Drosophila melanogaster: one gene and its partners. The protein of the gene in region 2 interacts with the protein of the main gene of each other region in a pairwise test. Each region holds a gene or a part of one and is shown on either strand. Other genes may lie near its edges.

Evidence for each region.
Region 1: the proteins of Zasp52 (region 2) and Zasp67 interact in a two-hybrid assay, tested with the Drosophila melanogaster proteins (one study listed by BioGRID).
Region 3: the proteins of Zasp52 (region 2) and egg interact in a two-hybrid assay, tested with the Drosophila melanogaster proteins (one study listed by BioGRID).

What each region holds. Positions count from the first base shown.
Region 1 is NT_037436.4:9,793,433-9,804,511, reverse strand, and holds the start of Zasp67 (Z band alternatively spliced PDZ-motif protein 67), read left to right. Parts: upstream 1-6,824; 5' UTR 6,825-6,985; coding exon 6,986-7,084; intron 7,085-9,749; coding exon 9,750-9,901; intron 9,902-10,508; coding exon 10,509-10,985; intron 10,986-11,079. Other genes in the region: Ilp4 (Insulin-like peptide 4), read left to right, coding at 399-564, 626-864; Ilp3 (Insulin-like peptide 3), read left to right, coding at 2,463-2,637, 2,710-2,897; Ilp2 (Insulin-like peptide 2), read right to left, coding at 4,262-4,512, 4,586-4,748; CG32052 (uncharacterized protein), read right to left, coding at 5,266-5,341; Ilp1 (Insulin-like peptide 1), read right to left, coding at 5,614-6,078.
Region 2 is NT_033778.4:15,810,844-15,821,922, reverse strand, and holds the start of Zasp52 (Z band alternatively spliced PDZ-motif protein 52), read left to right. Parts: upstream 1-7,005; 5' UTR 7,006-7,194; intron 7,195-11,079. Other genes in the region: CG33465 (uncharacterized protein), read left to right, coding at 838-1,036, 1,106-1,151, 1,203-1,366, 1,456-1,974, 2,031-2,079, 2,151-2,278, 2,334-2,695. UniProt on the Drosophila melanogaster protein: Regulator of cell matrix adhesion having two related functions, one upstream of Actn organizing the Z line and the other downstream of integrins regulating assembly of integrin adhesion sites.
Region 3 is NT_033778.4:24,775,027-24,786,105, reverse strand, and holds egg (eggless), read left to right. Parts: upstream 1-6,204; 5' UTR 6,205-6,292; coding exon 6,293-7,231; intron 7,232-7,289; coding exon 7,290-7,407; intron 7,408-7,478; coding exon 7,479-7,762; intron 7,763-7,815; coding exon 7,816-8,071; intron 8,072-8,133; coding exon 8,134-8,639; intron 8,640-8,697; coding exon 8,698-9,459; intron 9,460-9,530; coding exon 9,531-10,247; intron 10,248-10,305; coding exon 10,306-10,512; 3' UTR 10,513-10,572; downstream 10,573-11,079. Other genes in the region: key (kenny), read left to right, coding at 11-370, 423-551; CG3589 (uncharacterized protein), read right to left, coding at 706-794, 846-1,305, 1,363-1,472, 1,526-1,689, 1,745-2,451; TyrRS-m (Tyrosyl-tRNA synthetase, mitochondrial), read left to right, coding at 2,677-2,813, 2,881-3,213, 3,266-3,840, 3,899-4,087, 4,146-4,306; CG3594 (uncharacterized protein), read right to left, coding at 4,396-5,148; Lcp9 (larval cuticle protein 9), read left to right, coding at 5,737-5,748, 5,805-6,071. UniProt on the Drosophila melanogaster protein: Histone methyltransferase that specifically trimethylates 'Lys-10' of histone H3 (H3K9me3) in ovary. H3K9me3 represents a specific tag for epigenetic transcriptional repression by recruiting Su(var)205/HP1 to methylated histones.

The DNA of each region.
Region 1 (11,079 bases), on a different chromosome or scaffold from region 2:
ATTAGACTTTGACTTTGGTTAAGTCGGGCAATTCCTGGCCGGGAAAGGCCATTTCCTTTCGCGGGGCATTTTCCCGCCGGCTGGTCGAGCGACAAAAATAAGAAAAACCTGGTAGTTCAAATGGAAATCTCCTGCAGCTGACTGTTTGGTTGGTTGACTGACCTGGCCCGAATTTAACTTTCTACCTGGTCGCAATACGTGAAGTCAAAAAGTCAATTAGCGAGTCAACATTTTGAGCGCCGGCCAACTCCAAGGATCAGTATCATTTGGCATGCCCAGCGATCGGTTTGCCAAGAGCACGAGAAGTTCGAGATAGGACCCAGAGATACCAGAGATAAAGGAGGCATACCTTTTATGCCCGGTGAGAGCACGGACGGCGGAGTGAAAGATCGAGCAGGATGAGCCTGATTAGACTGGGACTGGCGCTGCTGCTCCTGCTGGCCACCGTGTCGCAGTTACTGCAGCCGGTCCAGGGACGCCGAAAGATGTGCGGCGAGGCTCTGATCCAGGCACTGGATGTGATTTGTGTTAATGGATTTACACGCCGTGTCAGGCGGAGCAGTGGTAAGTTTGGGTACTATGCATATTCGATTGGCTTCCATACATCTAACTTCTTTTCGACAAGCGTCTAAGGATGCTAGAGTGCGAGACCTTATCCGTAAGCTACAGCAGCCGGATGAGGACATTGAACAGGAAACGGAAACGGGAAGGTTAAAGCAGAAGCATACGGATGCGGATACGGAGAAGGGTGTGCCACCGGCCGTCGGAAGTGGACGAAAGTTGCGACGCCATCGGCGACGCATCGCCCACGAGTGTTGCAAGGAGGGCTGCACCTACGACGATATACTGGACTACTGCGCCTGATGACCAGGATGGCAAAACAAAACAAATAAAAACCAGAAACCAGATCCCAAAAACCAAGTACCAGATGAACACGACATGGCTGAGATTTTGTGTGGCGGCACGGGGAAAACACCCGACGACCGGCAGGCTATTTGCAATTCATTTTCCTACTACACTTAACCCCTAACTATAAACGTAATCGTATTTCCAAATATTTCATTGTAAAATTTCTAGTGGAGGCAAATAAAGTTACTCTCCAAGCAGCAGCAGAAACAAAAGAAGAGTCCATTGCTTTTTTCTACATTCTACGCCCTGCAGCATTCCAGCTGTGAGGCATGGGGAATCCCCTTGTTATTCAAACCACCCGAAGCCACCCAAACCATCGAGCCACCCACAAGCAGCTGCCATTCAGCACCTCGAGTGCGGTGCCCTTGTTTTCCGAGAACAATAATGAAAAATATGAATTTTTAATTAGATGACGTTCTGATTTTAATAAGCAAAACAAAAGGTGGAGACAAAACGAACTCGGTAATACACTCAGATTCGAATTTACAGCTTCCTTTTTATCCATAATTTTTGTTATTATCGAAGGAGCGATATCAAAACTAGAAAACAACTTCCAATCAGTAGCGGGATTTTCCGAAGATAACACTCTATTCAACCGAAGGGTTTTGAAATGATAATAATTCCGTTCTTACAGGTAAAAATCTATACTAATACCTGTTTTTTTGCGGACGGAAAAAAGGCTCAGTTGGCTTATCATTGGCAAAAGGGACTTGGGGAAACCATAAAGTATCGAAGGTACTGAGCCAAGATAATGAGATAACAGAAGGCGACTTTATTGTTTTCCACTCAAAAGCAATTGAATAAGTTGGCACTCGTTTTTAATTGAATGGGAATGAAATAAGCTCTAAAAGTGTTGTTAAAACGTAATGGCTTTTGTGTTAATTTAAAGAATTTAAGTAGTTTTGAAAGTATCATTATTCTTTAGGTAATTTTTATTACATTCCAAATTTAATAAATGACTAATTCGAAAAAGTGTTTATTTAATCAATGAATATATTTCAAGTAAGTTTACTTTTAGTAGCTTGCCAAATGTGAGTTTAAATATGTATGCATAGAACTATATAGTTAAACTGCTAAACTTTACAGTTAAACTTTCTGAACCCACCAAAATGGATGAACATCCTCGTCTGCCGAAGGGAACTCGATGCACGTCATTTTGTTTTTCAACAATCCAGATCCGTGCGCTACTCCTTGGGCGAGAAAGTAAACAAACGCCAGCTGATATGCGTCAGACCCCCCGGGCTCATCATCATCTCACCATTTCAGACATCCCATGCCAGCCCGAATCCTCACGAGAAACTAGACCAGACCAGGGCGAACTACATATGTGGATGATGCTAACTGACACTACGGCTGACTCATGCTGACAGTGCTCAGACGCTGGATACAGCCCGCAGACATCCAACTCGTATCCTATCCGATTCTGCCCCATATATATAACCCTCAGTCGATGGCTGGGAGGCAAACAGTTGAGGCCGTGCCACTTGGCAGACACATACTACACACTCCCCGGGGGATTCACGCATCCATACTTAAACACCACTTCATCACTCATGGGCATCGAGATGAGGTGTCAGGACAGGAGGATCCTGCTACCTAGCCTACTCCTACTAATCCTTATGATCGGCGGTGTCCAGGCCACCATGAAGTTGTGCGGCCGCAAACTGCCCGAAACTCTCTCCAAGCTCTGTGTGTATGGCTTCAACGCAATGACCAAGAGAACTTTGGGTAGGTGGGATTTTTCTTGATATAAGGAATACTAAAGTGCCATATCTCTTTACTTTCACCTAACACCTGTAGACCCCGTGAACTTCAATCAGATCGATGGCTTCGAAGACCGTTCCCTGCTGGAAAGACTGTTGAGTGATAGTTCGGTTCAGATGCTCAAGACTCGACGTCTTCGGGATGGAGTCTTCGACGAGTGTTGCCTGAAGTCGTGCACCATGGATGAGGTGCTGAGATATTGTGCTGCCAAGCCGAGAACGTAAACCTCGTAAACCTATTAACCCAATGACGACAACTGCGATGATTGAAATGGAATGAAAGGACCCGATTGGGGAAAGCACTCACGTAATCATAGTTGTTAAGTCGTTATCGAAGCCTACTCAATTCCAACTTTGGATTTATGATATATATGCACATGTAAGAGGGATGTATGCGCATAATTTATGATCTGAAATCAGAGACAGGCACGCGAAATGAATCGGAACACGGGATGTTATGCATGGTAGATATGTATGATTGTGCGGGGCCAGAATACATCGCCTGGGTATAAATTATTAAATAAATTATGTATTCAAACTGCTGCAGATTGGCCAACTTGATTGGTAATGAAACGGGTATTACATTGATTTTTCATTGTCGTTCATTGCAGTTAATTATTTATTGAACAGCGGCCGGATTTCTGTTTGCAACTATGTTGAAAAGGAAGCTGTGATTTTTTAACAAACTCTGTTCATTGTAAAGTTTAAAATCATTCCAATTTAATGCCCTCAAAACCTACGCTGAAATGGTCAGTTTTAAAACGATATTTATTAATATTTTAGTTAATTTACTAAGATTATCCGTTTTGCACTTTTAATGCCTTGCATTTGGTAATGCGTGATTGTTATTTAAGGTCTGCATGAATTTAGTTGATTCCGTTTATTTTAGCTTTCAAAATGTAATAATCTTCTAATTTACAACTACACAGAACGATTAAATTATGAGTATTGCTATAAAATCGGCCAACCGCGACTAGAAATACTCGACTTTTAAGGTCAACATAAAAGTAAGTCAATGTTTTGATTATAAGATTTGATCAATTACTTCTTTACGGATGATATAATCATCGATAAACGAAGTACGAAAAAAGCTATGAACTAAAATTTGGAAATTTCCCACATGCGACTAACTTTTGAATTGCAATTGGATTGCCTACTGTATTAAGACAGAAACAAGTTTTGGAAATGAATGAATGGTTTAAATTGTTTCAAGTTTTTTTAAGATTTTTTTTGTTTTCAATAAATTTAGTTTTAATAGAAAAAAAGATATATTCATTTTAGATTTCTGAATACTTGTGTTATATCGCTTTTTATTCAAGTGTAATAATCAACATATATATCATATAATGATAATAATAAATGTAACGTCCCAAATTAATAATAATATAAAGTAGCATTTGCGATTGTTTGCCAAAGCTTAAAGCAGAATATATATTTAATCCATTTCGATCATTCGTAAAGAGTAACATGCAACAAGCTGTAAAAAACATCGATTGTAGTATATATGCACATGGTTGGTTTGGAACCAGATCCAGAGATAATCGCGTCGACCAGGTCAGTTGGGGTCAATGATTTTCGCATTAGGAGGCCTAATTTCTGACCACGGAGCAGTACTCCCGCAGAGCCTTCATATCACAGGACTTTTTGCAGCACCTCTCCACGATTCCTTGCCGTTGGCGAGTTCGCCTCCGGACTTCAGCCAGGGAATTGAGTACACCCCCAAGATAGCTCCCAGGAAAGAGGGCACTTCGCAGCGGTTCCGATATCGAGTTATCCTCCTCCTCGAACTCCTGGACAAACTGCAGGGGATTGAGGGCGTCCAGATCGCTGTCGGCACCGGCTAATAAAAATCGTGGATACAATGTAGATCTAGCAAAGCCAGCTTGAGGATCTGCATCCTTGTAAGAACTTACGCATGGCGCGCTTGTGTGGAATCACGGGATTATACTCCTCGCACACCATACTCAGCACCTCGTTGAGCTTTTCACTGCAGAGCGTTCCTTGGGCCAACTTCACTGTGGAGCTGGCCAGCAAAATCACGGCCACCATCGAGATGAAGGACAAAGGCTTGCTCATGGTTATGGGTTTACTGCTTAGGTTGCTTTACGATCAAATGGATTAAGTTGGGTCGAGCCGGGTCGAAAGCTAACTGATGATGTTTGGCCCAAAGTAACTGGCTTATATACTGCCTCGTAAGAAACTTAAACTGGGTCTGGGTCGGGGTCGGTCTCTCGGGGTCGGGGTCTGGATCCACACACATGTTATCCTCAAAAGTCAGGTTGTCAAATTGTGTTAGGATGCGATGAGTGCATTCCGGAGTTGGCTCTTCTCTCTAACGCCTGGCTAAACTCATTCAATGTCAAAGCTGACTTATGCAAATGGCTATTGGAAAATTGTGGGTGGTTTTTGGGTGGCTGTGTTTGGGAGAAGAAGGGCTTTGTGGGCGTTTTGCTGTCAGCCAATTAAACAATTTATGTATAAACAGCCAGGCCGTACTAAGCCCTGCATTTATGAATACCAAATAAGTCCTTGGTCTTAAAGTTACCTCGCCTTTACAGCCCGTTTGCCTCTACCATTTCTACCCTATACTTACCAATCCGCGCCTGGGCGCCCGGCAGGCCGGAGTAGGCCAACAAGAACCCGAGCCAGCTGATTGGAGCCAGCAGCATCCTGGCAACGAATTACGCCTCCTTGGTACTTTTCCTTTGACTGTCTTGTCTTTGCCGCTCACACAAATTCTTCTTTTTGCACTGTCTACTTTTATTCATTAGTCAAAGTTGGTGCTGCATAAATAAGTGATTACGAATTGGATTACGAATGCTGTTAGGAGAACGGGTGTACATATAGTATGTATGTGGGAATGCCATGTTCAAGTGTTCGTATGTATGTATGTATGTGTATGCATGCTGGGTAATGAATGTGTGTGTGTTGGCCAAGTGTCCTATTTCGGTAGACAGTAGATGGCTAACTCCAAGTAGCTGCAGGTCTTGACGCAGCACTCGTCGTAGACGCCACCGGTCAGGTGTCTCCTGTGGCGACGCATCTTGATCAGGACCTCGGATCCGTACAGATTGGTTAGCAGTGGACTAAAAGAGTATCCTGCCCCGTCCAGTGTCTGCCACATGCTGCTATCATCCTGCACCTCCTGCTCCGTGTCCTCGTCGTCGTCGCTGTTGCCCAGCAAGCTTTCACGTTTCCTTGGCAGCGTATTAAAGCCATGGGGACACACCACATCCATGGCATCGGACAGTGCGGGGCCGCAGAGTTTGTGGTTTCCGGGGGGCAGCAACTGGTGACCACTGCCAGTCGGCGTGACCATTGCCATTGCAGCGGTGAGCATGGCTGCGATGAGCAGCGACTGGAGCCGAAGGCCATGTACTGCTGCACCGTTGTGCTGGCTAAACATCTTGGATATGCAGTGAATGCTCTGGGCTGCAACTGGTATTTATACCACTAAATCGGAAGCGCTAGCTAATGCAGTTCAATGGCCTCTTCTGCAGTCTAGCATTGCAGTGGCATAGCAAGCCCCACGGGCGTACAAACTGCAAATCCTTTGATCACCCATGTTTCAGGTACCGTTTTTCCCCTAAAAATGCAAACTCTATTTCTAGCTCTACTCCCCAATTTGGATGGAAAAGCGATGCACTGTTGTTTTGGTAGTTGGGGTATTGTATTGTATTTCTTAGCAAATATCAGTTGTATCATTACCTATATCTATCTATACCAATAGTTTGGAATGTATTTGTAAGACATTTTTAAGATATTCAGAAGAGTTAGCCTTATGGGACTTGCTCTAAAGTGTGAATTGATGCACACAGCTTTATCGAGCATAGTTTTCAGTGTAATCACCGCCAAAAAATCCGCCCACTTCAAAGCATAACCCGTTCGCCCAACCTGTTACATTGCCGCTAAGAGGCTCTGACTGCTGTCGATTGCGATTACGATTACGACCAGATATCTGTGGGGCATGGGGATAAGGGGTATGTGGGCCGATGGCTGACAGTGTGGCAGCCTCATTAGCATGTCGTGGCCAGGAGGAAAGTATGCTTCGATGAAGCTCCTCCGGCGGCAGTGTGCGAAATCGCTTCGATCACCATCATCGCCATCGCCATGGCCACTCGATTGTCGAGTTGCACGCACGGCGATGCCAACAGTTGGTTGCCAGCGCTGCACTCGAAACACTCGCTTCTTCCCACCGACCGCAAAGTGCCGGAAAAGCTAGAAAAAAAGCAAAAAAAAAAGTGGAAGAAAATTCGCGATAGAAAACGGAAAAATCGAAACGAACAAAAAAAGTCGGAATAAATCAAGGAAACATGGTGCTCGACATTAAGATGTGCCGATTTGATAATGTGCCCTGGGGCTTTCGCCTGGTGGGCGGGGCGGACTACGATTATCCGCTGACGGTGGTTAAGGTTAGGCCCGATTCGAAAAAAGAACGAAATCTATATGCTGCAACCCCCACCCCCCCACGCATCACCTCAGCCCATTCACCTGGCGGATGTTCATAGACCAGTGGAAAATATTGCTCACTATGCAGCTGATGAATCACATTGGATTAATTCGATACGATACGTTCGAATCAGTTTTATTTGTTCGATTGCAATATTACGTAACGCCGCGATGCGTGTGTGTCCATTCGGATTTGCTGCATTGGCAAATTAGTTAATTAAAGTAATTCCTCTCGCTTTTGTTTATCTAATCGACAGGGCCATACATTTCCCGCTAATGAGCCGCATAATGGCAGCGGCAATAAACTTATTCAAATTTTAATTGTGTTTCGCTGGCAGTTGGTCCTTTGTTTGTGCATAAATTGCATTTGGCAATTCGCATTTTGTAACATTGTGTTGACAATTCGCAACCAGCAACAATAACAAAAATACAATACATACAATACTATAGCATCGTCGTAAATCCGAAACAAATGCGATTTTTAATTGGCAAACTGCTAAGCGCATAAAACAAATGACCGAAATGCGAGGGGCGCTAAAAAATCCCATCCCTTCGATACGAATAAATCAATTTAAGCCGCAGAGTCAAGGAAGGGAGGTCATAAATTGTTTTTGACTTTTTGGTTATTTTTTTTTTACCGTTTTACATAAACAAATTATGCTATGGGTTATTTTAAATTCCGATCAATTTATAAAATGTTTGTGCTTTGGGATATGCATACCATGAAAAAATGGAAGTTTATTGTAAATGAATTATTAACTTCACAAGCTGGCTGATAGAGAAAAAACTGAAAAATGTCCGGAATGTTCTTCATTCCAATGAACTCCCTAAATTAACTTAGCTAATTTATTCCTTATACTAATACTCCGCTTTTAAGAATTCCTTACTACATGTTAGAGACTCAAAAAGCACATCCTTCGACTCGAGTCCATATTACTTTATGGAATGTGCCAACACACCTTCACATATTGGCTCTGCAAACACTAAACAATCCTTGGTAATCTTTTGAAAAACCTCTGTTTACACTACCACTCTTCGTCATGCTGCTCGCCACATACAGTCTGGTACATAGATGTATGGCCCAGCTAAGCCCAAAGCCTTTGTTCTATAAATATTCGCAACCTCCGACGATGTCGAGTGCTTTTTGCTCTGCGAATTCACCGCTGGAAATTGACTCTACCATAAGTGAAATGCAAGAGACCCCTGGGACTGAAAGGAAAGACCCTCAACTTGGTTGGGTGAAATGGTGGAGTCTCCAACCCTCCACCTGCTCCTTGTGCCAACCACTTTTTTTTTTTTGCAGTATTTGCATTACTAAGTCCTCTTGGCAGTCGGTGTCGTGACTTTCTGGTTATGAACCCTGCTTTCTCATAACGGAAACGAAAACAATCGCGTTTATTTGCCCACGAAAGTGTTACAAAACTGCCTGAATTATGCAATAGAATTCTTTGAACAGAGTGCTAAGATATTTCGCATTTTGAAGGCGAAACATAATTCATCCATAACTATTAGTTTGATGAATTCTCACTTCGTATGCTGGCAATTTTGAAGGCCGAAGTGGCAAAACCATTTTAAATGAATTCCTACAATTTATATGCTCAATTTGCGCCAATTTGTCTGTACTTTATTACCCACAAAAGCCATAAAGCTTATATTGTATTTAGTTGTTATTGTTCTCGCAACATTTTCACTTTGATTTATAGTTGCGAAAATAAATGTTGGCAAATGCAAATTTTTGAAACGATATTCTCTTACACGGTCATTTGGTACCATTTCCGGAATATACATTTACCAATTTTCCAAAAAAAGAGCCATAAATTGTATTATCCAATTAAAACGATTAGTCCAGTGGGTTTTTATTTCTAAAAATTTAATTTTGTAATTAGAGAAAACTATTGTGAACTTTGGATGACCTAGAAAGTTTCATTAGTTGTACATTATTTTTTACCCCCGCTTTAAAATTGCAGAACTTCTGTAAAAAAAAGCTTTTACAAGCTATTTAAATATTAGTGGTAGAGTTGTTTGAACATTTATCTTTTTGGAATCAGCAATATTTGGTTCTCTATCCTTACAAATTAATCTTCTCTTTAAGTGAACTCATAACTTTGTATATATGTACGTATGTAGAATCATCCTTCAACTCAAACATTTCCATCCGGCGAAACAATGCAATATTTGAGTGGTTAGACATGGGTAATTCCACTTGACTCGCTTAACTGAAGTGTCGTTAATGAGCTGCCACTTCTACTCGAGCACCCCTCGTTCTGAGCCCCCAGCCCCCACAGATCCTCTGTAGCCCCCCCATCTCCTTGGGCATTGTCTTCGGTTCTGTTGGGTTTGTGCGTGATTGTATGATTGTCTGTTCGGGGGTCTGGGTCTGCTGGTCTTTGTTTTGTTGACATTTGGCGCGCGTTTTATTTTTATGCACTTAGCACGCGACGTCGCCGTTGTCGGCTAATAGAAATTTCCCCATTATCGCATCGCATCCCATTGTATTGTATCTCGGCTATCTCGACTATCTCGGCCTCGCACTCATTCTATCGCCACATTCCCATATCCGCATCTGAATCGGGCGATATCTAGGCATTCCCATCTAGATCTAAACATGTCCATATGCTTCAACGTTAGGTGACCGAGGGCAGCATTGCTGACGAGGCTGGACTGCGGGTCGAGGATATCATCGTGCGCATCAATGACACGGCTGCCACGCCCCTTACCCACGACGAGGCCCACCGCCTCATTATGGGCAGTGGAAGCGTCTTCTATTTTGGCGTCTACCGGTGAGCTTTCCCATCCTTCTATTCCATACCATTCCGTTTCGTTCTCTTACTGCTCGTGGTCGTGGTCCTCGTCCTTGTCCGGTTCCTTTACTACTACTCTTTGTATCCCATCCACCGAGGACCATTTATCACAGCTGAGCGGGCTAACAACCCAAGAACGTTTCCTCATGCCCCTGCTCAAGGTAATCTACTTGTTCAAGAAATTCACAAACCACAAACGACCTCGAGAGAAATGGAAAAAATATGACAAATTTTCGTGATTTAAGAATAAAGTTCTGGAAAAATAAAGCGCTTTCTTAAAAAGTTGTCTGGGTAAAATGACATTTGGTTAATATATCATAATAGTTAATTTTATTATAATTATAAACTAAGAAAAGTTAAATTCAAAAACCCACCTAGCCCCATTAGTTTTGAAAATTACCCTACCATTTTAGAAGCAATTTATATTATTTGAATTAAGTTTGTATTTCAACTTTTTCGGGTTATGAATAATTATTCTTAGAGTGTCCCCGAAACCAGGGCTCCATCTCAGGTATTCCACGTTACGGAATTAATTCTAATGTTCATAAATTCTGCTCACTTTTTGGTCACTTGGATCCATGTGCAGGGAGAACGAGGAGGACGCTTACGAGTGCCTAAAGAAGTTTCCCACGAGCGAGGGTTCGTTGACCAAGTCACCAATGCCGACCATTTCACCGTCGCCGACTCCATCGCTGTCCCAGCTGACGGAAACCACAAATGCCCGTACTCCGGAACCGGAGCCATTCGTTCCGCTACCCCGGGAACTCGCTGCTGCGACTATGGCGGCTCCTGCTGTGGAAGTGGACGTGGATGTCCTGGCGGAATGTCGCCAACCCATGTCGGAAGTGCATTCGGAAGAGAAACGAGGGGATGTGAATGGGCATGATGCACCAGGCCAGGCAGATGAAGGAGGCCTTCCCGTCGAGAATCTCTACTTGCCCGATTTACCCGATCGTCCGTGCTCGGCGCTGTCCGAAAGGCAGGAAATTAAGCTGGTGGAGGAGGAAATTGCAGCCGTGCTGTCCGGCGAGTCGGAGGTGCTCAAGGAGCACAATGTCCTTGGGTGCGTACTATTCAATTTAAACCCATTTCTCCCGCCAGTTCCCTCCTTGACTACTTCCCCATTTGTTGGCATGCTATGCGGGCGAGTTCTTTTA
Region 2 (11,079 bases):
ACTAGCAGAAGTTTTAGCTTAAGGATTTTATATTCTACTAAAAAAAACATTATTAAATGTTAAATGTAGTGAAATATGTCTATAACCGTTTGTAAGATTACATTGTTCCGATCCAAATTCAAATTTATTCATAATTTTAAATTTTAAATGTTAGTTTGGATACATTATTTAATTTATATTAATTCATTATAAGTACTCTATATAATTTAAATTAAATTTTAATAAAATAGAGTATGTTATCTAATAGCGTTAGCATTATTTTAGAACAGTTTGGTGGCTTTTGTCAATCATGGACATGTCCGAGCTATCGGACTGTAGCAAATTTCACTGGTTCCAAACCATAAACTACATTTGTAAAAATACTGTATCCTAATCTAATCTACATGGATTTTACAATTGACAATACATATTTATCGGCATGTCTCAAAACGTGTCCCAAGCGAAAGGCCACCTTTAGTTCATGTATTCAACGACTAGAGGCGCCACTTGGAATGTTTTTTATTTATTACACCCTTTACTTGTAAGGTAAAATGGGTATGCCAGACTCGTTATAAATCAGGGCACAGGAATAAGTTGGCGTTTTCGACCTTATGAAATATATTTACTCTAATGCCCATACATCGACCTAAACTGTCACGCCCACTCTTATGAAAACCGTTTAAATTTTATTTATTTTTTCTTCTGATAGTCGAGAAACTCTACTTCTTTTAACATAAATATCTTTCCAGTTTAAGAAAATGTGTAGCATTGCTGATAAGGCACATCGGTGGTTTCGCTTGTATTTGAAAATACAATGTGTTCTTGAGTCAGTCGTACAGGGTAATTTGTTCGAGAACAATGTCTCGTGTGCTTTCGTTAGCTCTGATCGGATTAGTGCTCTGCCAGGGTTTAGCACAACTGCTGGATAAAAAGTGTCACGATCCAAAAACTTCAGAGAATATAAATTTCAATCATGGTGCAACTGAAACCGCACCCTGGATGGCAAGCATATACAAGAATAACCAATTTATTTGCGACGGAACGCTTGTTCACAAATGTTAGTAAAAAATCAATTACATAATTTCCAGCAAAAAGTTATGTTTATACTAATACTATCTGATTTTAGTGTTCGTCCTAACGGCCGCGAGTTGCATATCGAAAGATAGTCAACTGTAAGTAGAACTCCAGTGCTAGCTTCACCGATTGAGCTTTTTTTTATGAAGGTACGTGCTTTTCGGGATGTACAACCAATACAGGGATGCATCACAATTCTTTAACAACGAACAATATGGAGTGGCGGTTGCTTTGCAACATTCCAATTTCCGCCCAAACAATGGCGTCAACGATATAGGCCTTTTAAGACTTTACGGTGAAGTGACGCATTATGGTAAGCTAACAAATGTAATAGCTCAAATAATATTACGATTATTGTTGATATTAACTACTCATTACTTTATACATTTATTCCACCTGCAGCCCACATCCGCCCGATTTGTATAATATTAGATCATGTGGTAAAGTCAGCACCATTTGAAAGGTTTGAGGGCTTTGGATGGCAACAACAAGGAACAGAAGCATCCAGCCAAGTGAGGCAGACCGTATATCTCTCTCAGAAAAAACCATTTGAGTGCCATCGAAATGGTCAGTTGTTGCCCATTAACGAGGGGCAATTCTGCGCCGGCAATAGGGATAGAAGTTTCTGTAGAAGTAACTCCGGCAGTCCGTTGACAGCTGATTTCACCTACGGCGTAAAAAATATCACCGTTCAGGTTGGATTGGTGAGCTACGGCAGCGAGTTGTGCAGCCCAACTAGCGTCTATACAGATGTTGTCGCCTTCAAGGACTGGATATATAATACTGTCAGGAATTTCGAAACTAAAGGTGATCAGGTTGTGTACGAAGAATGCAGGAGCAACTGGGCGGAGGATGTCCTTGTTCGCCTGTGGGAGGTATCTCTGCATCAGAATACTTTCTCTGGCGTGCTTATTACGAATAGTAAGTTCTATCTAGTAATAGTAAGTTCAATTTTTTAATTGTGTTTCTTTTCAAAGGATTTGTCTTGACGGTGGCCAGTGCTTTCCCTAACATTCCTTTAGTAATGTAAGTACAAATTATATGACTGTTATTAATTTATAACATTTCTGCTTAACTATTTAAATTTTTTCTTACAGGAAGGTGGAAACCAAATATCTCAAAAGTTTCGACGTGGAATCGATCCATACCCATCCCAGATTCACGCATTCATCAATGGACAACAATATTGCATTGCTTAAACTAGCTCACGATGTGCCAAACTCAGGTAAAAAAGATTCAGTTTTGAACGCTTAATCGATCTTAAAAATCTTTTAATTTAGATCTTGTCAAGCCAATCTGCATTGTCCCAAGTCCCAAATTGCCAAGGATGTTAACTACACTTGTGGATGAGACCACCAATGATTTCAGAGGCGTCAGGAATGTTACTTTGAACGCCATCAATCACATTGAATGCGCCAGAAGAATTGGGAAACCACTTAAAAGTAACCAATTTTGTGTCGCACAACCTATTGATTTTAAAGTTCAAGCGCCAGGCTCAATCATAGGCACATATAGAAATATCGGCGATGGTAATAGGTACTATCTTTTTGGCCTAATGAGCTACAGTAAGGACGGCATGGTGGTCTACACCTATATACAAAGCTATTTGGATTGGATAATGGATAAAGTTTATTATAATTAAATATATAATAAATAAATAACTATAAAATAAATCATTTCGTAAATATTTTTAATATGATGAAATGAATAAATATAAAATATATCATTCCAAAAATGCAATAAAAATTATCAATGCAAATCTGAGTTTATACTTACGATTTTCTTTTAAATTTATAAATGTACTTTTTGGTATAAGATTGCGGTGATGAGAAGTGCATATTATCGGCATAAATTAAAAAAAAAATTTAATAAAAACTCATTGCTAGCTCCTCATGTTGAATATCTGTTACACCTTTATAAATCATTAAAACAATTATGAATGGTTAAATAACAAATCAGGAATAAATAACATCGATGAACCAGTATGAATGATAAGCCTTATATTTAATATTTATCACATTATGTAGCAAAATGTTTTGCTTATTTTGAAAATAAATAAAAAATAAGACCCAGTCTGCAGTTCACTTCTTTCTATTTAGATAAAATTAATTATATTATCATGTTACTTTTTTTTTACTCAATCCGTAGCTTATAGCTGTGCCCGCATAGGTGGCGCTGCATTTGTGTAAAATGAATGTAAACTATGAAGGTTTCGTAAGTCAACGCTAGGTGTCCAACATACAGTTTAAAACACAATTTTGGAGCCCAGTATGTGAATAGTCTAGGTCCTAAACATAAACTAAACTAAAATAAGCATTGTTAAAAAGCGTTTGCAGGTTATTTGGTTCATCCATAAATGTTTTTTTTTTAGAAATATTTATAAATCGATAAATAGTAAAGCACAGCTGTTTTCATGGTAATACATTTTGGCACACAAAGTACCGTGTACTTAAGCAACAACACACATTTTCATGTCTTTTGCGGCTTATTCCCATGCAATTTCTTTATTTAAGCGCTCATTAAATTGTAAAGCCAAATGCGTCCCCCACTAGATTATATAGTTGGCACATCCTCTTGGCCTCCTCGCACATCCTCAATGCAATTACGCGCATGCCGACAGCGCATGCGTGACATTTTCAGAGTGACTGCGCGATGTCGCTTCCTCTGGCTGGGTTCTGTTGGCCGGTCTGTCTTTGGGCCAGAAGTCCGCTCTGTCGACTGATCAAACAAAATAGCTGGCAAATGATTTACTACCGCTCTCGCGTGCATTAGCCAAAGTCATGGGGCTAGCACTTTTGGTTTCTGTTTGTTCTTTTCACCTCCAGTTGCTGGGAGACGGGGTTTTGTTGGCCCGCTTCTCGCTCTTGGTCAACAATATCACTGCAAAGCAAAGGGCATGAAGCAGGCGATCTGCAAGGCGGCAACCGGTTTCGGCCAACTGCGCAGTTTGATCGCTTTTTTCATGTCTTTCTTTTATTTTTTTTTTTTGGGAGGAACTGCATTTGCTGAATTGTTGCCCTCACAAAGAGTTTTTGCGGTTTGCCAAGAAAGTTACCAGTTTTAGATTTTTAAATTTAAATGTATTTATTTTAATTTGAAGAGTATGTATTTTGTTGCGATATATAGATATTCTTTATAAATCAGCTTTGATAAGCAGGTTAAGTTGGCTCATTCATTACAAGGAAAGTAACTGCATTCAGAAAAGTACGCATAAAAGGTTTAGAGGGTGTGCGAAAATCGCCGCTTTCCCGACTGTTTTGATTTTTGTTTGGCGCTAAAAAGGAAAATCAGACTTTGTGCCCGTCCAGAATCAGGGTGTTGTGTTGGGGCCGCTGTTGTTTTGGGTTGTGTAGCCGTCACCCAGATTATCAGGAAACTGGAGGAACCAGTTTCGGTGCGATGTGGCATGCAACCTAAATATAGAATTGCAGCTCGCCAAAAGTCGCGCTATTTGCTGCAAATTAGCTTGCTCAAATTATTGATCCAGACCAGAAAACTGAATTTATGGCTCGAATGCCATTATCACTGGCTGCGAAATTCATGGCTTATGGTTGCGCCCGGTGTTTGTTTATATTTGCATTTGCTCTATTCGGCTTTTTCTGGCCTTATCTTATCAGCAAGTGCCGCACACGAGTGTCACACATGCACAGGTACAGATACACATAGACTGGCCGATACAGATACGGATACCGATACAATTGCGCACCTTTTGGCCAACCACTTACCTGTTGATTGAGCGGAGAAGAGAGCGAGTGAGAGCGCAGCGTGCGGATGTGTGGGTGAGCGGGAGTATTTGTGTGAGTCGCTCGTCTTACAGTGCGACTCCAAACAACCCGTCGTCGTCGAGATCCCGATCCCAGCCCTCATTCGCTCGAACGCAACGATCGCGCGCGGTTGTATCTCGCAGAACAACAGAACAGAAAGATATAAACCCGGAACGAAAGATATAAGACCAAGAAGTGTCGAGGAACTCAAACGTATTCACTCAAGTGCTCAAAACATCCAGAAACAACTCTCCCGGTCACGGTCCCCCAAACGCTTTTCATTTTCGCAGAGAGAGAGAACGTTACGAATCCGCTTGCGAATCCAACAAGTGCGAGTGAAGGAAGTGTAAGTGTCTTGGCCAGTTTCTTGGCGATTTGTTGTTTGTGGTTCGTTGTTTGTTGTTTGTGCTGGCCTCCTGCCAAAAAGTTTTCAAAAAAAAAAAAAAAAACGGCTCCGCGAAGAGCCGGTTTCGAGCCACAGGGCTCGATTGTGTGATTCATGGCTCCGAAAACTTGACCGTTGACTCAGCATCCCCGAATATCAAAGACAGATTTAAGCAATTAAACCGCATTGGTATAAAAAGCAAAAGTGTTAACCGCAAGTTATTGTGTAACTAACCGTTGTCACCGTTGTCATTAAAACATAAAAACGAAAGATCGCCGAGATGCGGTCTTTAAACTTAATTACGCCCGTATCTCGGTATTTCGTATCTTAATCGCCTGACCGAAATGCGTAATAAAAAACCGCAAGAACAGTGTTTTTTGTTAGTGATTTTGATTGAATTGCGCTAGATTCTTTATTATCATTTTTGCCACTCAACATGATTTAATTAAAAAGCCGAAATGTTTTTTGTCGGCATAGTTAGGTGGCGGGTTGGTTTATTATTATTTGTTTACTTGTTTGCTGTTCTTGTTTAACCCGCCTGAGCTTTTTATGCCACCCGCTATGTGATGTGATGTAGACACAAATACGCGCGGCATAAAACATCCAAATATTATATTATATTATACATATTTATCTACATAGTCGTCCATGTTTTCCTGTCCATTTTTTTTTTGTTTTTTGGTGGATTGGTGGATTGTTTGCCTCGATTCGATTCAATTCGTTTCGTTTCATTTCGCTGCTTGATTGAGCACATCAGCGCTGGCAAAAACATATTTGCGTTTATTTTTGTAAGCTTTGCGCTATGGCTACATTTTAACATATTAATGCTTTATGGCTCACTTTTCATGCACTGGAAATTCAATTTAGGGAAATTTCATTTTAGCGAGAGTATGTTTTTGGACCTGCGATCTTTAAAAGAAGCATGCATTGGGTATGAGGGATGTGTGACCCCGACGGAATGATTAATTGTTTATTGAGAAATGGATAATGGATCGGATGGATCATAGCTCGGATGGAGTCACCACCGCTGATTCACGCACTTAGGATCTTTTGTGACCCAAATTCCCCAGATTATTCGGGGTTGTTGTTCCCATTTAGCTGCACACTTTGTTGTGGTTTTGAGGAAAACAGATCACGGGAAATAGTTCAGCACCTGCACTTGCTTTCAACTTCAAAGAGATGTGCCAAATGTGCGTTTCATACGCATAGTACATTCATGACAAGAAACAATAATATGAGATCATTGAAACTTTATGTATATCTAAAGTATAGATAATGAAATTATCCTACTTAAGGATTTATTTTTTGGGCAATTGTACTTGAGCCCTTCAGCAAATTGTTTATCCCATTTAACTAGATGTAATTATAGGATTACTATAAGTTACAGCCCCGAAACGGACTGATTGCACATGGGCATTTGGCTGGCTGCGCCGTTAAAAGCTTGGCTATGAAAACAAAATACAAACAATTAGCCAAATAACAAAAAGAATAGCCCGCACCAGGAACAACAACAAAACAGTGGGCCACAAAAGCCAGACAGACATTGGCAGCCGTTGCCGTCGCCGTCGTCTGGCGTTTTGTAGCTTTGCGGCTCTGCCGTCGTATCGGTTGGGAATTGAGAACCGACAATGTCTATATAGATGCTATATAGCCAGACTGTGCCACTGCCACTGCCTCTCGCACGGCCCAAAAGCAGCGACGCCGGCAGCGACGACGACTGCGACGGCAGCGATGTGGTTGAAAAGATTTTTGTATTCGAAAACGGCACAAAATGCACATAAAAATTTTCGGTTTCGGTTTTTGCTTTAGTTGAGAGAAAATCGTCGCTTAGTTAACGTCGCCCAAGAACTGAACTGGCAGTGCACCACAAACGTCACGAATATACGAAACCGAGATCCAAGTCCAAATCAGTAAAAATCAAATCAAATCGAAACCGTATCGAATCGAATCTAATCGAATCCCAGCAGAAAGCCACCCGATCGGAATAAATCGGTCAGTACCAGGTCGCATGTGAAATCAGACATTCGGTTAAGTAGAAATCAGCTGGTTATACAATAGCCTGCCGCAATCGATTCGCCAGGATCGCTGATGAATCAGAATCAATATCAGAGACAGTCACCGCCCCTCTCCCTCACCATTCGTCCACTAAATAGTGACTTGTGTGCATTTTGTGAAGGTTAACAACAAGTAAAGTCCCTTACGAAACCGAAGACTCAGCGCGAATAATATAGGCGATTGGTAAATAATTTTCTTGGCACGCCGATCCAGGGAATTTCTTTTGACGCATATATCACATTTGTTGGCCAGAGCACAGATACAGAGATACAGATACGTTGTAGATCTTCGGCTCGTTGAAATTGAATAAAATTATATAGTCAAAAAGCGAGAAAATTTTTAGAAACTTTTCAAGGTGAGTTTATTTATAGCTCCTCGAAATGGCTGCGCGGATTGGATTTGTTTCCGAATACTCTCGCTCAGTCAGTCAGTCAGCGCCGTTCGCCAGCAGCCATCCGCCAGATACAATATCTGCCAGATACAGATACACAAATTGCGAAAGTGCTGCGAATGTGGCGGCCACCACCTCCTGCGCCTCCTTTCTATGCTCGAATTGCTGCGGTTTGGCGCCACAAATTCTGAGACATTTTCAAAACGTTTTGAGCGCTATATAGACTATATATCGGCGACAGCATAAAGCATCGCATATTAATGAAGCCAGACCAGCTCTCTAGGTCGCCTCCTCGAAAAGTGTCTTTCGTTATCTTGGCAATTTTCGTTTGCGATTTTCGTGGCTGCTCTTCGGATTTCCTCTTCGCCTGATCTATTTTCAGCGATTTTCAGCAATCGCTCTCTCCTTTTCTCTCTGCCTACCTCGCCAGCTCTCGCTCACTCTCACTGCCGCTGACATCACGTATACGCAGTGGTTGCTCTCCATTTCCATTTGCCATTTCCAATTCCTGCCAGGCCACCAGCAGTCTGCCTGTGATGTAATTTAGCCATGACCAAAACTTGTTGATACTCGCCCTGTTCTTGTGTCCGTTTATCTTCTGGCTTTCTTTTAGCCTGGGTTCAGTGAACCCCAACAAAACGACGAAATCGATTAATCACCCACCTTGTTATCTAGCGATTAAACTAATGTTTGGTCACCTCACCAATAATAGCTGTAAAGCAATCGCCACTTCGACCGAATCAATCTTACAACGCCTCACAACATCCGTGAATCAATGCCCGATAAGATAGTGGTTCTATAAACTTGAATGAGCTAATAGCCATTGCCACTGACCACTTTTTCGATGAATGAAATGTCTTTGTTTACACTGGGGTTTATCAGTCCAGGGCGGAATTAATTACGCAGAGGATGATGGGTGCACTAGAAAATACACCGAAAACAAAGAGCTGACTGTTCGTTTAATTATTTAAGTCGAGTTCTTTTAGTAAACAGAATTGTATCTAAATTTTTTCTCACTGCTGAAAAATACTAGCAAATTCCTTCTCGGCCGGGAATCGTAAATTAAGGCCGTCGTGGAAATGTAGCTGAGCTCATTAGAATGGCACTTCTCGTGCACATCCTATTCCTATCCTATCCCATTCCGTTCCTGGGTGCGTGACAATATTTCATGGCTTGGCTTCACTTGACTCGGATTCGTGCACATATTGCAACCATCGCGGGGGACTGAGCGATGGGGCAAAAAAGGGGAGACATGCTCTACAAATTTCAAACAGCTTTGCGTATATTTTAATTAGTTCGCTCTCTCATTGGCCGCTTTTGCTTTTTGCAAATTCTCTGCGGTCTCTACGATTGCCACCAAATCATTTCTCAAGAATTTAACCTTCGTGAACTGTCATGGTAGATTGCATTCTCTTTCCTTTTGCTGAGACAAGCACTTCTCTCGTATCTTTGTATCTTTGTTTATTCTTCAGGGTTCGTATGTCACTCAGAGCAAAAGAACAAAAAAAAAAAAAAAAAAAAAGGTGGCGAAACAACGCAAAACCCGACCGATGATAATGATTCAAGAATATTTAAACATACGTTAATGGAAGGTTCTTGCCTGGGAATGGTTGTAGGAGTAGATTGAGATATGACCCCTTTCGACCTTCTGATCTTGAATCTCATATGCTATATGCTATATGGCTTTTAAAAGAACTTCTATAATGAATTTTTAAATGCAGTGCTTGGCTATAGGAAAGAAGGTGTGCTATTTCAGCCAATGATATCATCTCAGCAAAGAAACAATTTCTTCAAATGTTTACTTCCCAATATATAGCATAAATAAATACATTTATTGCTATACAGACTGATACTATTAGCTCTCCTTATCGATTTACTAAGTTATAGTGCTCTGTTATTGCTCCCACTTAAAAAGCACTTGTGAGGTGTGCAACCCTGACCTTAACTTCTGCCAACAAGTTAATCACTTTCGCCTGGCCAACAACTGCGATGGCACACTTTCGCACAGATATGAAATCGCAAGTGGAGGAGGCGAGCGGAGTCGAGCGGAATTACACAATATTCGAGCGGCAATTTGACTAAAAGTAATCACGTATCCGACGCCTCGCAATTACATAACCGCAGTGCGTTGAAAATAAACGCCCACAGACGCGAAATCTTCGACGAAGAAGTGCAGACTCAACGCAACTCGAATTGTCTGAACCCTCCCCCCCATACCCCTTTTTTTTACTTTTTGCTAAATGGGTAATGGGTACCACTGCTGCCACTGCTCTTTCTGCACCACAAACGTGACTGGCAAACAATTTTTGGTTTCATCGCCGCGGCAAAAGCCACAGAAACCCATCGAGAGATTGCGATTGAGTCGGCACTTTGGGATAGGGTTTTAGTGGGGAAACCCGCATGGCATCTCATACCCATGCCATTCCATCCCATCCATTCCAGAGTTTTGTTTATGAATTTAACGAAGGGAAAATATTTATTTTGGCCATGCACGTTGCGCTGAACAAATTATAAAATCTCGTGCGGCGCGCGCTCATAAATCACAACAGCATTTACGTGCATCTCTTTTTCGGCATCGAGATCGAGAATTAATTGCCCGACATTTGGTGGCGTTTAAACGGGCGATTGGTGATTTTAAATACATATGTATGTAAGCCAAGACATTCCGCTCGAGTTTTCCTTGGAAAAATAGTTCAAAACGCTGGCCTTCCGCCCACCGACGAACTAATATTCGAGGGGCATTTCTGCGCCAAGTCTATTTCGATCGACAGCCCCTGCAGACAGACGTCAATGCCAAAGTCACAAATATCAAAAAAAAAAAAAAAAAATATATATATATTTGTGATTGGCGAAAGCGAAAGGTAGGGCGGCATCTCAATGAAAATTACTTTGCCTTAACCCCTGCTGACCAAACTGCAGCTCCAATTACCCCAAAAACGAGAAGAAAATAAAAAAGAAAAACAGCGGTGTGCGTCCGTCACCGAAATAGTTGCCTCGGCCAAATGAATTATATACATTTCTGATGTATTTTTAAAAGAAGAATCCGCCTGTGACACTTGCCTCTGTCCATTACGAAGGCTGACAAATTGTTTGTTGAAACGGGGTGAAATGCAAATGCTAAGCATTTTATTTAGTCTTTGATTAATTCATATCCAACAGATACTTGTTCGCTTGCCAACAGAGCAGGCGAGCGGGCAGTGGTCTTAACAAATTCATTCGGGTGTTCGCACAATGTTCCCAGCATCCAGGAGTCGAGATGGAATCGAGGAGCCGAGGAGAAATCGAGGAGACCAGGAGCCGGGCACTTTGTCAGCCCTAATTGCAGCACTTTGTAAACTGTCACCAGGGCAGGCCGTTCAAAGGGGGCGGGGCAGCAACAAGTGTGTCTCCTCCTGGAGTTCCCATTTTTTGATGGAGAATTATGGCCGCCC
Region 3 (11,079 bases), 9.0 Mb from region 2:
GTTATTTCAGCACTCGTTTGAGTTCGTACCAGAGTATGCAACCGAATCAAAATCCCAGGAGCTGATAAAGAAAATGCAGCTGGATATTAACGAGCTGAAGGCCAGGGACATCCAGAAGCAGGAGGTGATCAAAGGTCTACAGATCCAAAACGATATCTACCGCAGGGACTTTGAAATGGAGCGGGCAGATCGCGAGAAGAATGCCGGAGAGAAAGATCAGTATCTTATGGACTTGCGATCATTGCAGAGGAGGAACCAGGAGCTTATCGAAGCTCTGGCCGAGTCCCACAAGGCAAGCAAGGCGTGCTCGACCGCTTCTCCGCTGAGTTCAAGCAGAAGCAATTTGCGAGAGGAGCAGAGACCAGTAAGAGTACGCTGATTCCAAAGTCCATAAATGTCAATACTAATTTTTGTATCGGTAGATTCTCGACCCAACAGGCGCCTCATCCCGGACTTCAGACACCACTTTGCGATGTCCGATCTGTTCAAAGTCCTTTAACGCCTTAAGCGTGCTTCAGAGTCACGTTAACGATTGTTTGGATAAAAACTAAGCACAATTTCTTACCATATTAATAAATTTATATATATATATATATTTTCTTTTTTTACAATATCTTGTTTAATCTTAAAAGCCTGGCTAACCGGCCATATTATATAAAAACACTAATTACAGTTTCGTTAACAATGAACAATGCACGAGTCTCCTCAGAGTTTGCTGCGAATGGGGGGCATTTCCAGAGACCACACGCGGTGTACATCTGGACTGGCTACCAGGTTGCTAAGCACATTTAAGTCTGCAAAGAATTAAGATAAGCTAGAAACCATCGATTCGACATTCTGCTCACCGTTGGTGCGTGCAAACTGCTGCAACGTGTTGCGGATATCACAAATTGGAATGGCTGTATTTATGTTTGGGTAGACGACGTCGTCTAATTTAATGTTGGACACACAAACGCCTAGGATGCATCCATTCTGGTCGAACATCGGTCCTCCACTTTGGCCCGCCTGCACGCTGCCATCGGACATAATGGCCCCGGTGTCGCACTTGATGACCCTCCCTTGAAAAATCGAAGGGTTGAAGTCGTGCCTGAAGCTGAAGTTAACGTAGTAGGGAAACCCGGCGTTGTACACCATTTGCCCGACGGTGGCCGGACTCCTGGCCAGTCGCACGCAGCATTGCTCCGGCACATCCTGCGGAGCTGTGAGTAGAGCCAAGTCGAAGGGCTTATCGCTGTCCGGATTGCACCAAATCACCTCAGACTGGAACTCGCGATCGGCAGCACGGCAATTAACAGTCTCAATGTTCTGCGTGAAAGACATTATTTAGTGCGCCAAGGTTTCGGGCAGCCCATGCTTGCATACCTGTCCCACCACATGTGCACAAGTGAGGATAAAGCGCTTGTTGTGTACTCTTATGAAGGTCCCGGTACCTTGTTGACCCGCCGACTCTATGACCACAATGGTGCGCTCCCCTAGAACGGTGTGTAGTTACTATAAGAACAACGTGGAATTAGTCTTAACTTACAGGCAAAGCTCGACGGCTCTCGACTCAGCTGGAATGCTGTAGTAGACATGCCCAGTTGTTCCATAAAGTTGCGCAAAAGGTAGCCAAAGTTTGCGGCCAGAGTGAGGTTGACGTTTTCGTGATGGCGTTGAAATGAGGTGCATATCACAATGCCAACGAGCCGCCTGATAAACGGAAATTTTTGGTATATTACGGTTTTGTAACGTATTCATCACCTACAGCTTGTTGTTGAACACTGCAGAGCCTTCACAGCCCAGGGGCAAAGCGTTTGAAATGGCAAACAAGCAGCCACTTCGTCCCATAACATTAGACACCTTTCCAATGCTGATGGTCTTGTAAAAGTTCTCCAGGCCAAAGGGCGAGCACATGACCAGCACGTCGTCCAAAGTGTGCATGGGCTGCAGGTATCGCAAGTAGTTAGCGATGTGCGCGAGGAAGCGCTTGAAGGACTTCTCCTTTTCGGGCTTCCGCAGGCCCAGCACCACGAAACTGGAGCGCAGCACCTCACCCGCATCGCCGGAGTCAGCGGTGAGTAGTATGTGGTGCAGGTTGCGGCAAACTTCGTTCGCACAAAACACGTACAGCGGATGGGCAGTGAAGCGGGAGAGGATGTGTGGTTGCCTCGACCCAGGTGCTGCGATTGGCCTCGGCCGTCGTTGCTGCGGATCGAAGGTGGCCACAAAATGTAGTGAGCGGATCTGCGCATCCTCTTCCTGCTCCTCATTCTGAACATCCAGCAGTTGACCCCTCTGCAATCTGGCAACAATTGCCTTGTTCTGCGCTCCTTTGTCCCCGTCTACGGCCAAATGTGGTTGCAGAATGCTTCCAGAACTGATGATGAGTTCGTTGTTAATAATGATCGCGGACTGTTTTGCAGCCGGTGGACTGGTGACCTCCAACAGGGCGTGGCGTATCTTCAGCAGCATTATCTCTAGATTTGATTATGAATAGCCCCTTGTCATGGAAAACTGCGTTGGCTCCAAATGGAACCTTTGTGTTTGGACTCCGATGTTGCCATTCGCAGCGACAACCAGCTGTTTGCAAGCCAAAACAAGTCAGATTTTGTCATTCACCGCGCGCCGATCAGCTGATGGCTCCAACCTCAAAATCAGTCCCTCTAGGAATTTAAAATTTCCAACGAACTTCGCATAATGCTGCCTCTGCGCCGGAGTTTGCTCAAACCGCTCCAGGATGTACTCCGACATAGCCACCGCCAGATGTCGCAGAAGAACCTCTTGGAGCTCACAGATCGAGGCTTTTTCCACGGCATATTTCCTGATACAGCGGCGTAAGTATTGGACCATCTACAAAGAGAGAAGATTTCCATTTTATCTATGAAAACCGCTGCTCCACAGTCCCAGGATGAAACAGCTTTTTACCAGAGGCCAACAGAGCATCTACGCAGGATTCGATCCCACCGCTGACAGTCTACACGTGGGCAATCTGCTTGTAATAATGGGCCTGATCCACTGCCAAAGAGCCGGCCACAGACCTATTGCCCTAGTAGGAGGAGCAACTGGACTCATAGGGGATCCCAGTGGACGCAAGACAGAGCGCAACCAACTGGGCGAGACGGTGATCGAGACCAATCTAAAGGCTATCGAGCAACAGCTTCGCCGGGTGTTCGAAAATCACGAGAACTGCCTTTGGGACTCTAAGAAACAGAAATTGCCACTGGCTCCCCTAATGTGAGTGTGTAGCCTACATCAGGTCGTGTTAATCTCTTTCTAATCTCCGCAGAATCGTCAACAATGCCGACTGGTATGCGGACCTGCAGCTCATCGACTTTGTGGCCAACATGGGACGACACTTTCGCATGGGGTCAATGCTCTCCAGATCCTCGGTGCAGTCCCGCCTGGAGTCGGAGGACGGAATGAGCTTCACCGAGTTCACCTACCAGATTTTCCAAGCCTACGACTGGCTGCACCTACTGCGCCGCCACAACTGCTGCTTTCAAATGGGAGGCTCCGATCAGACGGGCAATTTAATGACTGGACACGAGCTTATTAGCCGCGTAGAGCGAAAGCGAGAGGTCTTCGGGCTCACCCTGCCATTGGTCACGACGGAAGAGGGCGATAAGTTCGGCAAGTCGGCAGGCAATGCAGTGTGGCTAGACGGTAACAAGACCTCGCCTTTCGCCCTCTACCAGTTTTTCCTGCGCATGCCAGACTCCGAGGTCGAAAAGCTCCTGAAGCTGTTCACCTTCATCCCGCTGCCCCAGGTGGAGCAGTTGATGCGGGAGCACACGAAGGAGCCCGAGAAGCGGAAGGCGCAGACTCTGCTGGCTGAGGACGTGACTCTGCTGGTTCATGGAGGTTGTACTCTATATCATTGTTCCTTTATATCAGTAGTATAGAAGTTTTCAATTCACAGAAAGTGGGCTGAAGCAGGCGGAACGTGTGACCAATGCCTTATACAAAGGCAACGTGGAGGGTTTAGCGGAACTCAACCTTTCCGAGATCCAGCAGACTTTTCAGGGTGCTACTATGGTGAACCTGTTGACCGAGCCAGGAATGTCCATCCTAGAGCTCGCCATGAAGGCGAAGTGCTTTCCCACGGAGAGTAAGTTATCTTTCTCTTTGGAAATATGGGGCATAATCGATTTGTGATCACTCTTTAGCGGATGCTGTACGCATTATAAACGCAGGCGGATTTTACGTTAACCAGAAGCGGGTGCAGAATATCGCCGAAGTGCTAACTACGGGCGTGCACATCCTGCGCAACGGAATTTCTCTGCTGCGCGTGGGCAAACGCAACTTCTATATTGTGCGCTGGCAATAGTTAACAGTAAACCTCTTATCCGGTAATGTTAACTTTTAATTGTTGTTAAATAATCATAGAATGGCTTACATTGTAAGAACTTATGCTATTTATGTGGGTCTGGGGGCGGGCTTTTTGCGCCACCGCTTTCGCGCCAGCATTTCCTTGGCCTTCTCCTTTTTCAGGTCCTTGTCGTAAAACTTGCCGCTCTTCGTGAAGGTCTTCTGCTCGTTGCGCATCTCGGCCAGCTTTCGGTTCTTCTGTTTGATGATGTTCTTCTTGTTGGCCGACTTCTTCTTGCCCGCCTCGGAGATCTGCACCTTGATGTTGCGTCCCTGCAGCTCTGTGTTGTGCAGCTGGAAGGCATTCTGGAAACTGCTTAGGTCGGCCATTTCCACAAAGGCGAAGCCCCCTCGTCGCTTCTTGGGAATGCGGATAGACTTGACCGTGCCTGCCGCAGAGAAGTGCAGCTCCAGGTCGTCCTTTGTGGTTTCGAAGTTCAGGTTCGTCACGTACAGGACGTGTCTGTTGGTTTTGGAGGCTCCTCGAAGCAGTGAACTCAGCTGGTCACTGGTTATCTGCCCATTTTCCGCAGATTCCTCTTCCTCGGCTCCGGAAGCAGCACTGCCCTCAGCGGCTGCCTCGTCGTCGGACTTGGCCTCATCCTCGCTCTTACTATCCTCCGGGTCACTGGGATTCCGTCCGTCCTCCTTGTCCACATACGTGCCCTCGAAGATCTCCCTTCGCTTCTGGTCATCGAAGTTTCCCAATAGATCCGCACTGTCGTCGTTGACTGTGCGTTGAACTCGCTTGGGATTGAAGAAAGCCTCCACCTCATAATCGCTGCCAGAATCACTGGCCATCGTGATATTTCTGGGGGAGATTGCAGTGCACACCGATACGCAGACACCACCACGTGGGATTCCCTCTGAATGGCAAATCTGTGCGGTCCCAGACATTTTCCAGCACTGGCTAATTGCGCGCCAAGAAATTCAAATCCCAGGCCATATTGCAATCGCAGCTTGTTAGAAACCGGTTGCAACTGCGGGAGCAAAATCAGACTGCTAATGGAGTTATGCGAAAATAATGCTAATCGGCGTTAGCATCGAAGGAACCGGTTAGCTCTTATCAGCTAAAAATTAATCGTGCGGTGCTGACAATTGATGAACGTGGTTGTTTTGGGAATCTTCCGCACAGATCTCCAAAGATAACCCCCCGAATATGATATGCCGAGTGGGGCGATAATTAATGCCTGCAGAATGACTGCATCTATGTCTTTTGTTTAATTAAGACAAACGACCGCTGGGAGCCAGTTATGAAGAAAATTTATGCAGTTGGTGATTCCGGCCGGTAAAATGTCAGTGGAGAGCTACATATAAAAGCGCAATTTTCGGCAACCAGCAGTCAAAATTTTATCGCTATCTATCAGCACACACATCCCCTTTCCAACCATGAAGTTTGTGGTAAGTGGCATCGAAATTAGATTTTGGGGACCTCTGAACAACGATTTGTCTTTTAGATCGTTCTTGCCTGCCTTTTGGCCGTGGTCTTCGCCAACGAGGAGGCTGATGTTGTAAAGAGCGACTCCGAGGTTAACTTGCTGGACTTTAACTACGCTTATGAGCTATCCAACCATATTCGCGCCGTGCAAACTGGAGCCTTGAAGGAGCACGACAACTGGGTGGTTTCCGGGGAGTACGAGTACGTGGCCCCCAACGGCAAGACCGTCAAAGTGGTCTACACCGCCGATGAAACCGGCTACCACCCAAAGGTCGTCGAGGCCTAATGAACAGGACCCACTCCCGAAGACCGAAATAAAAAATTAAATCCATTGCAGCAGCGAACATTTTGAATTTCCGTTCTTTTTCTTTTGTGTGAATAGACACTCTTCTTCTTTCTGCCACTAAAATCTAGGGCTGGCAAATTACGAGCGAAATTTTATACAATGTTATCGCTTGTCTCGCAAATTTGCATTAATGTGTAAAGTTAAGTAAACTCATTAAAACTATGTCTGGGCAGCCAACAGCCGTGGACTGCTTAGAGAGCAGTGGAAGCACAGTGGAGGATGTCCAAGAAACACCGGCGTCGAGGGAAAAAAGTTACGGGTTGCCGGTGCGCAAAGGAGAAAATAGCTTGGAGTCTCCTGCAGAACAAGCCGCAAAGGATGTGGAAATTGAGGAACTGACACACAGTGAAGCAATCGCCGCCACCGGTTCAACCAGGAAGCAGTGCCCATATGGAGGTAAGGCCCCTGATGAACCTGGAAAGTTGGCCGACGAATCGGAGGACCGCAAGGGAGAGAACACGAAAGCCATTGCAAGCAGCCCGGTTTTGGTAGCTGTGGATTCGGACAGCAGTGTTGAGCTAATAGAGAGTCCTGTCAAATTCTCCTCCGCCAACGAAAGTGAGAAAGATCCGCCAAAACCAGATGCTGTCAATGAAGCTGCGGCTAAAGAGGCCGAGGAAATGACTGATAGCAGCATCAGCAGTCCCACATCCGAAAGTTTTCCTGAAAAAGATGAAAAGACCAATAAGGAAAATGAGCAAGAACCTCCTGGCATGGAGGTAGATCAGGACGTCGAGGAGTCAATAAGTCGACCAGCAGAAGAATACAAAATTGAGAATACATTAAAAGGTCACAAGCGTATTAGCTTAACGGAAATCGAAGAACACAAAATTGTTGATAAAAAAGACGATGTCCTAGAGGTGGAGCTTGAAAAGGGCACTGCTCCGAAAGCTGCAGAAGACGAGAAGCTGAACGCTTTGTTATCAGATGGAGATGTCTTCTACGACAAGGAATGTGTCAACTGCAATTGCACAAAGCTTCATAAACAGTACGTGTTGGCTAACATGGCCACTTTAAACTTTTACCAGGTGCTCCGAAAGTCTTCCAAGCAGCAGTTCCTCTGCATGGGATGCCATGACACAGCAATGGACTTGTATGAGGTCAACTAGCATATTTATTAACTTAAGAGGGAAACTTAGAACGTATTTCTTTATTTAGGAGTATGCTGGACAACTAATGGCCAAGCAGCCGCTGCTGCTAAAGGATTTCCATCAGGATCACGCCGACTTTGTGGCTCTGGACAGCAGCGATGAGGAGGAAGAGGAGAAGCAGCCAGGTGAGACTGCTATCATGATAAATAAACAATAGCAAAAAAAAAAACGTACTAAATATATTTTATCCGCACAGAAAAATCGGACTTTTCGAAAAACAAGCTGCAGCTCATCGAAGATGAACTCGATGATGCCATCAAAAATGTACTTAACAAGGTGGATTTTACGGCTCAGCTGTCCTGGTCAAAAACTATTCTCCAGGCGAAAGCAGACCACTTGGAGCGACAATTCGCACTGGCAGATGTGGAACTCGAAAAAGTTCAGACCACCGCTGACAAAATGCACTGCGCTTTGTATAACTCGTGTCCGGTGGCACACAAACATCTGCCCACCCTGGACATTGAACCCAGTGACTATGTGGTAAGTAAGAAGTGATGCCGTTTGGATCTGATTTAATACAACCATTTACTCAGCATGAAGTTCCACCTCCTGGCGAAATCGTGCGTCCTCCAATACAGTTGGGAGAGACATACTACGCTGTTAAGAACAAGGCTATTGCCAGCTGGGTGTCCATAAAGGTAATCGAGTTTACAGAGAGCACCGCCATCAACGGAAACACGATGAAGAGCTACAAGATTAGGTACCTCAACACTCCGTACCAGATGATCAAGACAGTGACGGCCAAGCACATTGCCTACTTCGAACCACCGCCAGTGCGACTGACCATTGGTTAGTTCCCAATAGACCGGTTATTTATCAATCTATAAACTAACCCACTCATTGTGCACTAGGTACCCGCGTGATTGCGTACTTCGATGGCACCACTTTGTCGCGGGGCAAGGATAAGGGCGTGGTGCAGAGCGCCTTTTATCCAGGCATCATCGCTGAGCCGTTGAAGCAGGCCAATCGCTACCGCTACCTAATATTCTACGACGATGGGTACACTCAGTACGTTCCGCACCGCGATGTCCGTCTAGTTTGCCAGGCTTCCGAGAAAGTGTGGGAGGACGTACACGCCGCATCGCGCGATTTCATACAGAAGTACGTGGAGAAGTACTCCGTGGATCGTCCAATGGTGCAATGCACCCGGGGACAAAGTATGACCACTGAATCGAACGGGACCTGGCTGTACGCGCGCGTCATTGACATCGACTGCAGCTTGGTGTTGATGCAGTTTGAGGGCGACAAAAACCATACGGAGTGGATATACAGGGGTTCATTGCGCTTGGGTCCTGTCTTCAGGGAAACCCAGAACAATATGAACAGTTCAAGCGCACAGCAGCTGCGTGTCCCAAGAGTAAGCATCGTGTCGATTCATCCTGCGGTCCTAACTACAAAATGTCTTTCTTTTTCAGCGCACGGAGCCCTTTATTCGGTACACCAAGGAGATGGAGTCCAGCAGCAAGGTGAACCAGCAGATGCGTGCCTTTGCCCGCAAGAGCAGCGCCTCCGCCCAAAATAACGCATTAGCGGCTGCATCTTCGGCAGCAACCCCAGCCGGAGGACGCACCAATGCAGGAGGTGTCAGCACCAGTAATAGCGCAAGTGCTGTGCGACACCTAAACAACTCGACAATCTACGTGGACGACGAGAACAGGCCCAAGGGCCATGTAGTCTACTTTACAGCCAAGCGGAATCTGCCTCCCAAAATGTACAAGTGCCACGAGTGCAGCCCGAACTGCCTCTTTAAGATCGTTCACCGTCTGGACAGCTACAGTCCGTTAGCGAAGCCTCTGCTTTCTGGCTGGGAACGTCTTGTCATGCGGCAGAAGACCAAGAAGTCTGTGGTATACAAGGGACCTTGTGGCAAAAGCTTGCGCAGCCTGGCCGAAGTTCACAGGTACCTTCGAGCTACTGAAAATGTGTTGAACGTAGACAATTTTGACTTTACGCCCGACCTCAAGTGTCTGGCCGAGTACTCCATTGATCCCTCGATCGTGAAGGACACGGACATTTCAAAGGGGCAGGAGAAGATGGCGATTCCGCTGGTAAACTACTACGACAACACCCTGCCGCCCCCATGCACCTACGCGAAGCAGCGCATCCCTACCGAGGGTGTTCATCTGAATCTGGACGAGGAGTTCCTCTTGTGCTGCGACTGCGAGGACGACTGCTCGGTAAGACGTCTTACAGATCTGATTACCTCAAATTATACCCAGCCGCCCACTATTTTGTGTATCCCTATCAGGACAAGTCAAAGTGCGCCTGTTGGCAGCTAACGGTGGCGGGCGTGCGGTACTGTAACCCGAAGAAACCCATCGAGGAGATAGGCTACCAGTACAAGCGGCTCCACGAGCACGTGCCCACCGGCATCTACGAGTGCAACTCGCGCTGCAAGTGCAAGAAGAATTGCCTGAACCGGGTGGTGCAGTTCTCCCTAGAGATGAAACTGCAGGTGTTCAAGACCTCAAATCGTGGATGGGGCTTGCGCTGCGTTAACGACATCCCCAAGGGTGCTTTCATCTGTATTTACGCCGGCCATCTGCTCACGGAGACGATGGCCAACGAAGGCGGACAGGACGCCGGCGACGAGTATTTCGCGGACTTAGATTACATAGAGGTCGCTGAACAGTTAAAAGAGGGATACGAGTCGGAGGTGGACCACTCGGACCCGGACGCCGAGGAGGACAACGGGGGACCCGATGCCGAGGACGATGACGACTTCCGGCCAAACTATCACTACCAGCGCAAAATCAAGCGCTCTTCCAGAAGCGGCTCCACGCAGAACAGCTCCACTCAGAGCAGCGAGTTGGACTCGCAGGAGCGTGCGGTGATCAACTTTAACCCAAATGCTGATCTGGACGAGACGGTGCGGGAGAACTCGGTGCGGAGGCTTTTCGGCAAGGACGAGGCGCCCTACATCATGGACGCCAAGACAACGGGCAACCTTGGACGCTATTTCAACGTGAGTTGGAAGTTTTTTGTTATTTTGCCGTGTGGCTGATTCTCTTCTTCTCCCGCAGCACTCGTGCAGCCCCAATCTCTTCGTGCAGAACGTGTTCGTGGATACTCACGACCTGCGTTTCCCCTGGGTTGCCTTCTTCTCGGCCGCGCACATCCGCTCCGGCACCGAGCTGACTTGGAACTACAATTACGAGGTGGGCGTGGTGCCCGGCAAGGTGTTGTACTGCCAGTGCGGGGCCCCCAATTGCCGCCTTCGTCTGCTCTAAGTTCTAGCTTAAGTTAGAGATCCATACAGGAAATATACTCATTAAAGAAGAATTAGAATTAAAAATTTAAACTTTAAACATTATCTGTTCCGTTAGGGTAACGGAAACATTGCATTTTTATAAGCTACTGCTGTTCTGCACCGTCCGTTTCAAAGTACACAATTTTCTTCACGTTTAGTGTTAAAGGAATAAATATAGACAAATGAATTTTAAAAAATTATACTTTAAAAAAATAATAATGTTCGTTAATTTAACGGTATTAATTTATGTGGTATTTTAACGCATTTTACCTAGTGGTATACTTAATCATCAGCCGTACGGTATTTTTAATCGTTATCCGAACGGTCACACTATCCACCGAGCAAAAAAGCAAATTTAGGCTTTTTAAAATTCGAGAGTAGCTAAATTAGGGGCCGCAATGCGCCAAGCTCACCTGTAAGTGGCTCCAGCAAGTGTCTCGTCGCAGGTGCACAGGTGCTAGGCAGCAGGACTCCGCCGACGGCTGACTAAGAGCAGCTTATCCGCCCCTTGGGAAGAAAAAATCGATTTTGTGATAACGGGCTTACG